Linked DNA regions of Astyanax mexicanus. The protein of the gene in region 1 purifies or fractionates together with the protein of each later gene. This does not show direct contact. Links are inferred from orthologs where the notes say so. Each region holds a gene or a part of one and is shown on either strand. Other genes may lie near its edges.

Region 1 (7,737 bases):
CCATCACTCGTTTGAAACCCCTGTTCCCTACTAGTGTCACGCCTTATAATCCTGCGCACTTTATGTATGAAAATGAATCTAAATTAAACTTTTAAACTAAATACATTTGTTTTTCTCGTATAGTGTATAAGTATTCTCACCGCTGTAGCTGCTGATCACCGTCTCCTGACTCAGATCCCAAACTTTAACCCTAAAAACACAGAAGATTCGCTCTTATTAACACCAACATCACTACAACACATGAGCTACACTCACATACAGTGCCATATACCATCTAATGTAGAGCAAATATCCATTAAACTCAGAGAAACACTTTAAAACCATCAGTTTCTCTGATTTTACAATTTATAGGCATATGTTTGATTAAAATGAACATTTGTTGTTTTATTCTGTGAAAACATCTCTCCCAAATTCCAAATAGAAATATAATAAATTTGTCATTTAGAATTTTCATTTGCAGAAAATGAGAAATGTTAAAAACCTCAAATAATGCAAAGAAAACAAGTTCATATTCATTAAGAAATAACAATACTAACGTTTTAAAAACGTTCAGAAATCAATATTTGGTGGAATAACCCTGTTTTATAAATCACAGCTTTCATGTTCTCCTCCACCAGTCTTACACACTGCTTTTGGGTGATCTTATGCCTTTACTCCTGCTACAAAAAAAAAAAAAACTAGTTTAACTTTATTTGTTGGTTTGATGGCTTGTGAACATCCATCTTCCTCTTGATTATATTCCAGAGGTTTTTGACAGGGTTCAGGTCTGGAGATGATTATTAGCCTATTAGCTTTAGCGCTAACTGGTGAGTTTTAACTTCCGTTACTTATAAGCTACATAACATTTAAAGCTCCAGTAATAACACAAGTTTAAGCTTCAATTAGCTTCATGGCTAGGAAGCTACATTATCCTTATTCTTAGCTTCAGTGCTAATTGGTAACTTATAACTTCCATTTTTTGTTAGCTACATTAGCATGCTAAGCTAAGCTGGTGAGTTTAAACTTCCACTACTTATTAGATACATTACCGGTATTCTTGTAGCTCCAGTGATAATATAAGATTAAGCTAAGAAGCTACATTATCCATTATTTTAGCTCCAGTGGTAATTGGTAACTTATATTTCTTGTTAGATACATTAGCATGCTAAGCTAAATGTTGAGGTATAACCCTTGATTACTTCTTAGCTACGTTAGCATTGATGCTGCTGACCTGCAGTCCATGCCGCTGCTGACCGCGTGACCCGCGTCGGCCGTAGGGCTCACTGACGTCACAACGTGATCGTGCTCATGGCGAGTAAACCTGTTTACCAGCAGACGCTCGTCCTCCGCCAGCTCCCATAATTCAACAGCACCTACATAAATAAAGACAATTACGCGAAACATTAGCAAAGAACACAACTGGCCACTGAACCAATCACTAATCGATCAATATCCCCCCTCTGCTCACCTGAGTCTGAGGCGAGGATGATGGCTCTGTTGGTGAGCCACTCAGCGTGGGTAACTCCCGCCTCTGTCTGAACCCCCGCCTTACAGTAACCCTCGTTAGGAGCGAGTTTAGCATCACTGAACACCCAGAGAGAACCGAGCCAACACCGACCCGTCAGACCCGACGCCCCCAACAGCAGAGTCCCATCTGAGAGAAAAACACAGACAAAACACGCTCAGAATACAGCTTCTTCCCCTAGGCCATCAGACTGCTCAACACACAAGAAAGAATGTTTCTTAACGAAACCATAATTACACTGCTCACAGTTTTGAATATTTTTAATGTTAAGCCAAGCCCACTTCTTTGACACAGAGAGGCATGTACAGACATTTACAGACCTAGAAAGACATTTACAGACACAAAGAGACATTAACAAACTTTAAAAATAGAGAAACCTAGACACAAAAAGACATTTACAGACACCGAAACACACACAGAGAAACACAGAGAAAGAAACACACACACACACACACAGACACAGACACAGAAAAACAGACACACACCGAGATACAGATACACAGAAACACAGAGATACAGAAACACAGAGATACAGACACACAGAAACACAGAGATACAGACACACAGAAACACAGAGATACAGAAACACAGAGATACAGACACACAGACACACAGAGATACAGACACAACAGAGATACAGACACAACAGAGATACAGACACACAGAGATACAGACACACAGAGATACAGACACACAGACAGAAACACACAGATACAGGTCACATAAACATACAGAGATAAAGAACACACAGAAACACACAGAGATACAGAAACACACAGAGATACAGAAACACACAGAGATACAGAAACACACAGAGACACAGAAACACAGGGATACAGAAACACACACAGAAACACACAAAGATACAGAAACACACACACACACAGAAACACAGAAACATACAGAAACACACACAGAAACACACAGAGATACAGAGATGCACAGAGATACACAGAGAAACACACAGATATACAGACACACAAACACAGAGATACACAGAAACAGTGATACTCAGAAACACACAGATATACAGAAACACACAGAGAGAAACACAGACAGACACACACACACACACACACACAAAAACACACACACACACACACACACACACACACACACACACACACACAAACACACAAACACACAAACACACACACACACATACACTCACTCACTCACTCACTCACTCACTCACTCCTGCAGCAGGCTGTGGTGTATTTTACCTCTAATTATAGGTAAGGTAAGGGTAGTTAAGGTAAGTTACCTGTTCTGTACTGCAGGGTCTCCAGGTGTCTCTCCATGCACGCGGGCGCGCTCGCGGGGCACCAGCGGCTCTCGGTTAGCATCCTGCAGCTCAGCGCGGCGGCTCTCAGTCTTTACCTGATTATTTACCGGTTTATTTATTTACCGGTTTGTTTGTGAGTCTGTTTTTCCAGCGCGCGAATGAATGGCCGGAGAGATGGAGCAGCGTACATGCGCCTCTGACATCCACTCACTTCCGCTTCCGGATAAAAGTCCCACTTTTAAATGAATAAAAGTCTACTAATATTTTTATTATTATTATTATTATTATTATTATTATTATTATTATTATTACTATCATTTCCAACAGAACGAGCTTTTATAATCCAGAAAATATAAGCAAAATGTTGTCCAATCAGAGCCGGTTTATGGACGGATATGGTTGTTTGCGAGTTTCAGCTACACCCGATAAAATAAGAGTTCATAATATAAAATAAATTACATTTTAAAACTCGCTCATATTAAAAACCTCATACTTTGATTATCTAAGGTTCGTTAAATATAATTAAATAAACTTTTTTTTTTTTTTTTGTCCAATGGCGTTTAGTGCAGGTACAACTTCAACGTAAAAGTCCGTGATCTTGAAGCTGAAATCCAACTATATAAAATGCAGAGTCCTTTAAAAAAAGAAAACAACTAAAAATTAAAATAAAAATGTTATATAAACAGTATATTGTAAAACTATATTGGATTTTTTTTAGGAAACAGTTCCCTGATTAACAGCTTACAGCTAGTAAATAGCATTGGAAATAAAAATGTATGAGCTTTGAAAATGTATTTAAAAAAAGAAAATTTCCCAAGACAAGGTATTTATTCAGGCTTTGGTATTTGAACAGCCAAACTCTCTGTTGTTTTTGGTTCTTCAGCTGAAATTTAACACAAAATATCTCGCAATAAAATCTACATATAAACAGATTGAGTTTTTTATTCTTAAAAAAAAAATAAAATAAAAGTAATTAAGGTTGTTTGAGGTTGTTTATTTTTCATGTGAACAGTTTTAAAATTATAAAATACAAATAAAATCTAAATAATAATGAATATACATTTACAAAATTTACACTTACAATTATAGATACAAAAAATATATAATGTAAGAATAGCAAACACACACACAGCTGCCATCTAGTATTAAACACAGAACATCAGCTGATTTGATTTGCAGTGCATTCTGGGAAACAGTAGATCAATAAGTTACACACATCCATCGCTACACTTTAATGCATGGAACAGTTTTTGCTTAATAGAACATTTTCTGATCTTGACGGTTAATGTTCTTACATTTTCAGGATGTTCTTAGAGTGTTTTTACTTAACATTTTTAAACATCATGGTAACGTCACTGCAATGTTACAGTTTAACGTTAATGGAACCTTTTTAAAATGTTGATAAATGTTCTCAGTGAGCTGAGAAGATGCTACATACGATGGGTGTATGGGGGGAGTGTGTGTTCCAGGGGTCTCCTGTAGGTTAAGGGCCCTCTCTCCTCCTCAAAATGCAGTGAGGGCCTCAGTTCACTGTAAGTGTGTGTGTCTGTGTGAGAGTGTGTGTCTGTGAGTGTGTGTGTGTGTGAGAGAGTGTGTGAGTGTGTGTGTGTGATCTCCCGCAGGGTTGCGAGCAGCTCCTCGTACTGTTCCTCTGGTCCAGTCTGGACGTCCTCAGTGCAGAAGGTCAAACGCAGCATGTCGGCCACGCCCACCACGACCCCCAGCAGAGCCAACACTGAGCCCACCAGGTAAACCCTCAGCAACCCCGGCCTGAACCTCAGAGACAACAGCTCCCGGGCCAGCGGCACCAGCACTCTACTGTCCATCAGCATCATAACCACCGTCCTGATGAGTAATAAATACAAAACACACAGTTAAAACACATTAAAACAACATAAAAACAACCATACAGAAAAAAACTATACAGATAAAACACACCAAACCCCTCAAAACAATTAAACACATTACAATAATACAGATAAAACAAATCAAACACTTAAAAACAAGCAAACACATCAAAGCAATATTGTTTAAACACATTAAACACATCAAAGGAACCAAACACATCAAAACAATACCGTTAAAACACATCAAACACATCAAAACTATACAGATAAAACACATCTAACACTTCAAAACAATACAGTTAAAACACATCATACACATTCAAACATCCAAATACATCAAAACAATTGTTAGACACATCAAAACAACATACAAAAAAACATCAAAACAATACAATTAAAACACCTCAAACACTAAAAACCAACCAAACACACCAAAAATACAGATAAAACACACCAAACACTTTAAAACAACCAAACATATTAAAACAATACAGTTATAACCCACGAAACTCTTTAAAGCAACCAAACACATCAAAACTTTTACTTTTATACTTTAAATAATTTTTGAATCCAGTACTTTTTTAAACACTTTTACTTAAAGAGTAAAATGCTTGAGTTGATTCTTCTTTAACTTCTACTTCTAAGTATTTTATTAAACACTCTATACTTCTAACTACAGAGTAATGATTATTTGTTTATTTTATTTAATGAATAAAGAATAAACAGAGAAATCACACACTGACCTGTCTGAACAGCTCTCTCCACACTGTCCCTCACTTTCCCTCTGTGAGGTTTATACTGGTGTGTGTGCGTGTGTGTGTGTGTGTGTGTGTGTGTGTGTGTGTGTGTGTGTGTGCTGGTGCAGGTATGCTCCGCCCACTGTGTGTTTACACTGTTTACACATTTCCTCTGTGAGTAAGCTGGTTGGCTCAGACAGGCTTGGCTAATGCTAATGCTAATGTGTCTGACACTGCAGACGTCCGGCTCGCTCCGGCTGTAACGCTGGATTATACACACACACACACACGCACACACACACACACACACACACACACACACACACACTAAACTCAGCAGACAGGAATTTCCAAGCTCACACAACATGTAACCTCAGCCCAGTCTGTCTGCAACAGCTTGTTTAAAAAATTGTTACATTTGTCGTATTTTTGGTTAAAAAACGTTTTCACACATTCTCTGCTGATTACAGGTCAGTCCGGTCCAGAACCAGTGTTGTGCCGATTTCAGCACCCCCGCCAGGAAAAGCACCCCCTCTCGGGAGCGCGCACGTACATCTTCTTGGTTTTAACTTTATTTTTCATTATTTCTTTTGAGTCACCGTAGCTTAGAACAGCATATTGAGTATATTCATTTTCTAAAAATAGTCATGTCACCTGCAGCCTTAATTCAATAATGAAATATATATATATTTTATAAAATTTGTAGTCCTATTTTAGCGATCTATAGGCAAGCCATCAACCGTGCACTGTGCAGCTTGATTTAGAGCGCGTTGGTGTGTCTTTGCTATCATAACGGTGGGAAAAGTACACCTTGCATGACTCAAGTTATGTACTAATTCTCTTAATTAATCGTGGGTGTGGTTAATTTTGGGTGTAACATGACATAAACCAATCAGAGTGTCACTTTAAGCTCATCATTCTCTTTAAGAGTAGATCAGGTGAGCTCTGACTTTGGCGGATTGCTATTTTAACAGTGCAGCTACCTGGACCTGGAAACTGAGCTGCTGGTTGACGCTGTGAAGGAGATCCAGCAGCTAATTTACGGGAACAGCAATGTTATTTTATTTATTATTTTGTTTATTGTTGATCTACATATGGCACAGTTGCGTTGCCAAGATAGCAATAAACCAGAAATTTACCTGAACCTCATTTTCAGACCACCACGCCCATCAGTGTAGATATATTCAGAAGCACTGTTGCTATTTAAACAATGCAGGAGGAACGAGTGGAAATAGACTGTTGACAAGGTGTAAGATAGCAATGAGCATCACAACGCATCATGCACATGTTGTAAGACAGGGCCTTCATTATTTATTGGTGTTTTTATCTCATTTAGGTAAAGCATCGGATTGCATATCATCCTGACATTTTCTGATTTGGGGTTTTAGACTGATTCATCCCACCAAACCACGACACACCTCATCGCCATGGAGACCGGCAGCTGGGTGTGTCTGCCTCTGTCTGGCTTTTTGTAGAAAAAGATGAGTCAGAAAACACACACACACACACACACACACACCTGAGGCTGGTTCATACCTGCACTGGAGAATGTACCGCAGATTCAGTGCCTTCAGGCTACACTTTACTGCACACCACACCCAGAACACACATCGTCACCTCACCTCACACACCCTCACACACACACACACACACACACACACACACACTAACACACACTGCCATATGATTACTGTGCCCCAGGCTGAGGAAAACAACTCCAGCACCTTCAGATCTTTGCAACAACACAACCACGTCCCATAATAACCTTCAGCTTCAGTCTTCATAAATGCCTGTTCGCAATTACCTATTTAATACGTTTAAATCACTGTGGCTGTAAATACAGAGCAGAAAAATCTGAACAATTTCAAGAACTTTGAAAGTATCCTCAAGTGCAGTCACCGCAAAAAACATTGAAAACTTTATGATGGAACTGGCACTCATCAGGAATGCCCTGGAAAGGAAGAGCAAGATTTCCTCTGTTGTACAGGAAGTTCATCAGAGTTACCAGCCTCAGAAAGCACAAGTTAACAAACAGCTCCCCAGATAAGAGTATTTAGGTTTGTTTAACACTGTTTTTAAGTTACTACATGATTCCTTATGTGTTCCTTTATAATCTGATAGATCACTTAACTATTAATTTATAATGTAGGAAAAAATATTAAAAATAAAAACATTGAATGAGAAGGTGTGTCTAAACTAAAGTGCAGAGTAATTAGTGCTGTATATACATTTAAAATGATGATATTCTCTGGGTGTGATACGGTATGGCACGGTACGGGCAGGTCAGACTCAGTGATGTTCTGTTATTGCTGATGCTCCTCTGATCTCTCCTGTCAGAACAAGCCCAGAACTGAGAGTTTAACT
Region 2 (7,087 bases), on another chromosome or scaffold:
GCCTTTATTTTGTTTCTACAGTTCCCTGTTGGCAGCAGAGGACCTGTCAGTCGCCAGCCGGCTCTGCAATTGCCTTGTCCACTACAAAAAGTCAGACACACACACAAACATACATACACACACACAAATGACAGAAAAAAAGTTTATCCAAAACTTGTGTAAAGCAAATGTGCTTACTGGATGAATAACAGACATACCACTTCTCCCGCAACTAGTGGGATTTTCTCACATATTCATAGCAGCTCCCTAAAGCCTGTATAAGGTATTTAAATACAGCTCAGGAAAAAAAATAAGAGACCACTTAAAAATGATGAGTTTCTTTGATTTTACCAAATTGAAAAACTCTGAAAGATAATCAAGAGGAAGATGGATTATTACAAGCCATCAAACCAAGCTGTACTGCTTGATTTTTTGCACCAGGAGTGGTGTAAAGTTATCCAAAAGCAGTGTGTAAGACTGGTGGAGGAGATGCATGAAAACTGTGATTAAAACCAGGGTTATTCCAGCAAATATTGATTTCTGAACTTTATGAATATGAACTGGTTTTCCTTGCATTATCTGAAAGCTCTGCATTTTTTGTTATTTCAGCCATTTTCTGCAAATAAATGCTCTAAATGACAATATTTTTATATGGAATTTGGGAGAAATGCTGTCCATAGTTTATAGAATAAAAAAACAATGTTCATTTTACTCAAACATATACCTATAAATAGCAAAATCAGAGAAACTGGTTCATAAACTGAAGTAGTCTCTAATTTTTTTTGCACAGCTGTATATAATAATGGAGAGTTTAATAGAAACTACCTGTGCCTGTATTACTCATGTTAAGGAATGTTTACAGGTGTCATCCTTGTACCGGTACAACTACAGTTATATAAAACAGGTGTACTCACATAAACTGCAAGACTGTAAAGGATTGTACATGAAAAAAAAAACATCACACAGGAAAGAATACTCTGCTGTTTTGAAGACGGGCACAAACCTTCAGCGAATGGGACAACGATCAGGGCTCTGTCCACGAAGACCGTGTTCGTCAGATGCTGGGAAACTCCAACTGATTCAGATTCGAGGAACTTTACAAAACAGACACGTGAAGTCACAGGCAAGGGAGAATCACTGGAAGAAAATATAAAGGCTTTTGCAAGATGTACAGACAGTTCTAACATTTACACACACCTTCTCCACTCAAACCAGCTTCAACACTTTGCATTGCCTTGATGAATCCCGTACGTGTTTTTAGAAACGCTCCATCTTGGCTCTCTAAGGCACGTCCTACCTGAACTGCCGTTATGACGTGAAGTTATGACCTGATGTGTTTTGGACAGATGGAAAATAACAACAAAAAAGCAGAACACAAGTTAGCTATCTGAGAAAATACACTATGAGTTACAACTCTTACTCAGTCATACACAGAAATAGAGATTCTGACTGGTTCTGCCACCCCATCTATAAAACAGAGGTTCTGATTGGATCTGCTTTCTACTTGTTTATGTCTATAGGTCACTATCAGTCATTTCTCTTGATATGTCTACATTTCATGCCATACATGGATCAACGGTCCATTACACTAGGGTCAGTACTGTATAAGTGAGCCTATAGACCCAAAGGATTCAAGGAATAAAGACCTTATTTTCTTAACTGAAGTAAAAGAGCTCATTATTTGGACAACCACATTTTCCTCATGTAAACTTCAGGCAAACAGAAATTACCCATCTAAAAATTACTAAATAAGTGAAAAGGCTGAATAATTTAATATTGTGCTTGGTTGATATGTCTGCAGAAATGTTAAAAATGTAGCATTTAGGCAATTGTGGAATAAAAGTATAAAACCTGGGAAAAAAACATTGCATTCTGTGTGAGGATGCACAAATGTGGGAGTTCTAGGCCGATGCAGATATCTGATATTAAAATGAATAAATATTAGCCTAAATCAGTGATTGATAGTTGTACAGCCAGTGTTTTTGCTCCAGCAAAAAAAAAAGAGATTAAGAGTGATTAATATTATATTTTGCATAATTTTCGTAACTATGGCTGATAAAAATAAATGCAAAAGAGTTAATGCAACCAAATATTAACGTTTATACAATATTCTTTGCTTACAGGGTACTGTCTTCTATGCTTCCCTCTGCTGACAACTTTTATGAAAATGCGGATTTCATTTTTCAGCAGGACTTGGCACACTGCACACACTGCTTTTAGAGTTTCCATTGGCTGTAGGTCATAATCATTAACAATAAAAGAAATACACGCTTAAAACAGATAGATATATAATATATAAGTTTCACATTTCGAACTGAATTACTGAAATAAAGCAACTTTTTTTAATGATATTCCTTTTTTTAGATACAGTAGTATTAATATATTAGAAAGGCTAGCTAACCATTATCTGTGAAGCTCCATTCAGACATATCCACTGCAGTGCTCAGGCTGCAGCTGGTTAGCTGTGCTGTGCTGTGTTGTGTTGTGCTGTGTTATATAAAGCACCGCTGTGTGTACAGTGTGGTACAGTGCAGTATTTAGAGTTACTCACTCTGGAGGGAAGAGCTTGAGCTCCTCGATGTTCCCCAGGAACCCAAACAGGGTCCTCATCTGCTCGGATGTGGCGCTGGGAGAAACATTGGTGACCTGAACCACGTTCGTGCTGCTGTTCATGATCAGGCCCTGCTGTTTACTAACGCCCGCTGGCGGATCAGCGCTGCCCACAAACAGCAGCAGGATTCAGGCGATTCCCCGCGGCTCGCTCGGTCCGCTCATACGAGTTTACCTGAATTTAACCTACAGATCAGCTCCACAGAGCCCAAATTCACCCAGCTTTCTCTATTAATAACTAATTAACGGATTTAAAGGCTCCCTAGCTACTGCTCCCCGCTTCTCATCTGGATCCTACCAGCAGAAAACTGACTAAAGTCAATGGCTTTCAAAATAAAAGTCTAAAACATTTAATTCTATTTTTAATGTATTGGCCAATTGAAATATATACAATAACATACACAATACATCTTAAATAAAATCTTAACATCTTAAATAAAATACTTTTCTGAAATTGTTAAAAAATCCAAACAAATAAATTATATTGACTAGGTGTTGCATACTAGTGCATCTCAAAAAATTAGAATATCATTGAAAAGTTACTTTATTTCAGTAACCAGTATTTAAAGCGTTTATTAGCGTCCCACTGCTGACAAGTTTTATGGAGATGCGAATTTCATTTTCCAGCAGGACTTGGCACACTGCCCACATATATAAAAAATCATATAATATGATTTTTTTTTTTAAAAAACACAGATTTTTGTGTTTTCATTGACGGTAAGCCATAATCATTTACAATAAAATGAATAAACGCATAAAATAAATCCCTCCGTGTGTAAAACATCTGTATAATATATGATATAATTTACATTTTGAACTGAAATACTGACATAAAGTAACTTTTCGATGATATTCTAATTATATTCTCGTTCCTTCTTTTGGGCAGTATAAAAATATAATCCATGCATTTCTTTATCATGGTAAATTAAAACATTTTAATGTAGCCCATAATATGTAGTGCTATTCATGTATGTCGTTTGTGTTATAAATATTATATTATTGTTTAGAAACTGTAACATTTAATATTTCATATAATACATAGCTATGTAGTTTGTACATAGTTGGTCACTCTGTTAGTCTGATTATATTTCATAATCAGAATAATTTATTTTTGCTTTTGATCTTTATATGTTGTACGTTGTATTTATCTATATCATTTTTAATTTTTCTTTTTTTGTCGTTATTGTTACAGCGATCAGGCTTTTCCGTGATAGTTGTACCATATATCATGTATAAATATTATGATTTTATGTGTGAAAAATAAATTTTGATCAAATTATTATTTTTATTTTAATTATTTTTTAATTATTTAATTATTTATTTATTGTTATTTCTAAATCTATAAAAACAAATCTATTCGATTATTTTTTTTCTTTTAGTACAAACATTAAACTGATTTCCTCTTTTATATGAGAAACCTAAAAAACTAATGGGACTTTAGTGGGACTTTTATTATGAAACGCAGGGTCTCTCCTGTTTTGAATCAGGAAAGCTAGTACAAGAATGGAGACCCAAACAGAAGGTGCTGTGCTTTCCCGAGCAGAGAGAAAAGCTCTGGAAAAGGAGAAAATCATTCAGAAAGAGACTCAGAGAGAGACCTTTAATCTGGTGAATATATCAGCTGCTTTATTTCCCTTCTTAAAAGATTTACACCTGGTTTAATAAACGCTAATTTAGCTAGTAATGTAACTTAGATACTTAGCTAGCCGGTAAGATAGCCTAGTCTGTCGGGGGTGTTTAAATGCCCCAGCTTCATTAATAACAGCTGTTATACTAAACTTTAAAATGTGTGTATATGTAGACAGACAGACAGACAGACAGATAGTAATATAAAACAATAATAAGCATGAACTAATAAAAAAAAAACACAGTCAACTATAGACAACTATATCTCACCTATTGCAATAAGGCATTAAATAAATACAAATAATAAATATTAACAATAAGTCAAGTCAATATTTATTGCAAATATTGTACGCTCTGCTGGTTAATCTGTTTTGTACAGGTTTCCAGAATACTGAAGAAATCTGAGTGTGAGCGGACAGAAGAGGAGATTTCTCTGCTTCACTCTCACCAAGAAACTGTCCAAGAGCTAAACAAGCGATGGGTCAGAAGAAACACCTTGAAGAGGAAGCAAGAAGAGGTGAGTTTGGTTTTATATGGTTGTTCTTTAAATTGCTATACTGGTGCATTTTAATCATTTAGAATATAATTTCCTCAAAAAGTTAAATTATATAGATGTTATTATACACAGTCAGCTATTTTAAGCATTTAATTCTGTTAATGTTTATGATTATGGCTTACAGGTAATGAAAACCCCAGTCAGTCAGTATTTTAAATTACATTTAAATTAAAATTTTATATGAAAAAAAAAATACAGAAATGCTGACACACTGAAAAGTATGTACAATATTATCAATATTAATTCAGCCTGTGGCACTGCTGTGGCATTGAGGTGTTATGAAAGCCCACCTCATCTTCCTATTGACAATAGTCCATAGATTTCAAGCTCAGGTGAATTCGCTGGTCAATCAAGCACAGTGATATTATGATTATTAAACTAGATATTGGTCATTTTGGCAGTGTGGGTAATTTCTGAGACACTGACTTTGCAGTTTTTATTATCTGTCGTAATCATCAACATAAAAAGATACTCTAGATCACTCTGTGTGTAATGAATCTATAATAGTTTCAGTTTTTAAACTGAATTACTGAAATAAATGACCTTTTTGATGATACCCTACTTTATTGATATGTACCTGTATATAATTTTTTTTGTATTTTGTTTTAGATTTGTGTATCAAAGCAGCATTAATAATAATTTTTTTTAATGGTTTTCGACAAAATGGAAATATTTTGCCACTTCGATGAATTACCTTTGTGCTCTGCTGCTTTTAGCTGTTTGATGATGAGGACGAATTGAGGACCAAAGTGAAACAGCTGGCTGAAGCCATGCGTCAAGCTCAGCATGCTGTCATCTACACAGGAGCCGGTATCAGCACGGTACTATCAACTCCAGCCTCAGAGGATGTACTTTCTTTTACTGCATGCATAATAAACGCTTCAAATATTAACCATCATTGTTTCATGTTTGACAGGCCGCATCCATCCCAGATTACCGTGGCCCAAACGGAGTATGGACCCAGCTGCAGAAGGGACGGACTGTTATGTGAGTGATGCAGTGTGCATTTCTCCACTTCTTCTGTTTTTATACAAAATAAAAAATAATTATTGTCCCCCACACATTGTGTCACATTGTGTCACATTATGTTCCACAGGGCTTCTGACCTCAGTGATGCAGACCCGACTCTGACGCACATGTGCATCCGGATGTTACACAAAATCAAAATGGTCAGTATGCTATTATTTAAAGACCAAGGAGTAACTCTTAGAACCAAAAATGAGTCTGTGATAGTACTGTATTATGCAATTTTGGACGTAGCAATAGACTTGATTAGGACCATCATGAGCATAGAGAGTGTCAGAGACGAGGCAGTGGTTAGGGAAATATGACAAAAAATGTTGCTTAGATTTTATAATTATTATTTTAATAATAATTTTTTCAATGTATTCATGAATGTCAGCCAGTACTTGGTGTTTGCATGCAGACTAAAGTACCTCTGTTTACGTGCAGGTTCAACATGTGGTCTCCCAAAACTGTGACGGCCTCCACCTGCGCAGTGGCCTTCCCAGACCCGCCCTTTCTGAGCTACATGGGAATATGTTCATAGAGGTGACCCTCATACTTTCTTATGGCTGTCAAACTTAACCATATCTTTAGTTGCATAGGAAAATCTAAATATTTATCATCTTGAGTTCCTGACACAGCAAGCTAACAGCACAAATGTGTGCTGTGTGCCGAAAATTCTTTTTTAGTCTGTTGGCATGTATTAATTTACAATCAGAAACCATCAAAATCAAAATGTTCTTCACTCTTATTCTCCAGTCCTAAACATGCCCATTCATTCCATACAGGTCTGTGTCTCATGTTCTCCAGTACGGGAGATCATTCGACTGTTTGACGTGACCGAGCGCACAGCGCTGCACAGGCACGGAACAGGCAGGAGGTGTCCCCACTGCGGAGCAGAGCTGAAGGACACCATCGTGCACTTTGGAGAGCGAGGCACCCTGGAACAACCCCTCAACTGGAAAGGTGCTGCCGAGGCTGCAGAGCAGGCTGACCTCATCCTCTGCCTCGGCTCCAGTCTGAAGGTAATGCAGCGATTCATGTGACTCTCCTTAGCTGTACCTTTCTGTTATGATTATGGCAATATCTGATTTTTGTATGTGGCACATTGGCAGGTCCTGAAGAAGTATGCATGCTTGTGGTCTATGAAGAAGCCAGCAGCTAAAAGACCAAAGCTGTACATCGTCAACTTACAGGTAATGACTCACACTTACTTTTTGGCTCCAGCTACAGTCCTGCAGTGTAACTTCACAAATTCACACTTGTAGCCACACAGTACACACAGTATAGTCATGAAAGTGTAAGAAGCAC

Evidence for each region.
Region 2: the proteins of wdr77 (region 1) and sirt7 purify together in Homo sapiens (affinity purification with mass spectrometry; 3 studies listed by BioGRID, with this or other methods). This does not show direct contact. The link is inferred for Astyanax mexicanus from reciprocal best matches to the Homo sapiens genes WDR77 and SIRT7.

The regions. Positions count from the first base shown.
Region 1 is NC_064431.1:32,443,519-32,451,255, reverse strand, and holds the start of wdr77 (methylosome protein 50), read right to left. Parts: upstream 3,003-7,737; 5' UTR 2,851-3,002; coding exon 2,769-2,850; intron 1,634-2,768; coding exon 1,448-1,633; intron 1,353-1,447; coding exon 1,211-1,352; intron 191-1,210; coding exon 141-190; intron 1-140. UniProt on the Homo sapiens protein: Non-catalytic component of the methylosome complex, composed of PRMT5, WDR77 and CLNS1A, which modifies specific arginines to dimethylarginines in several spliceosomal Sm proteins and histones.
Region 2 is NC_064423.1:31,808,459-31,815,545, reverse strand, and holds the start of sirt7 (NAD-dependent protein deacetylase sirtuin-7), read left to right. Parts: upstream 1-4,086; 5' UTR 4,087-4,092; coding exon 4,093-4,197; intron 4,198-4,594; coding exon 4,595-4,732; intron 4,733-5,487; coding exon 5,488-5,592; intron 5,593-5,687; coding exon 5,688-5,758; intron 5,759-5,867; coding exon 5,868-5,940; intron 5,941-6,223; coding exon 6,224-6,322; intron 6,323-6,564; coding exon 6,565-6,801; intron 6,802-6,891; coding exon 6,892-6,972; intron 6,973-7,087. Other genes in the region: srsf11 (serine/arginine-rich splicing factor 11), read right to left, coding at 983-1,116, 2,531-2,652. UniProt on the Homo sapiens protein: NAD-dependent protein-lysine deacylase that can act both as a deacetylase or deacylase (desuccinylase, depropionylase, deglutarylase and dedecanoylase), depending on the context. Specifically mediates deacetylation of histone H3 at 'Lys-18' (H3K18Ac).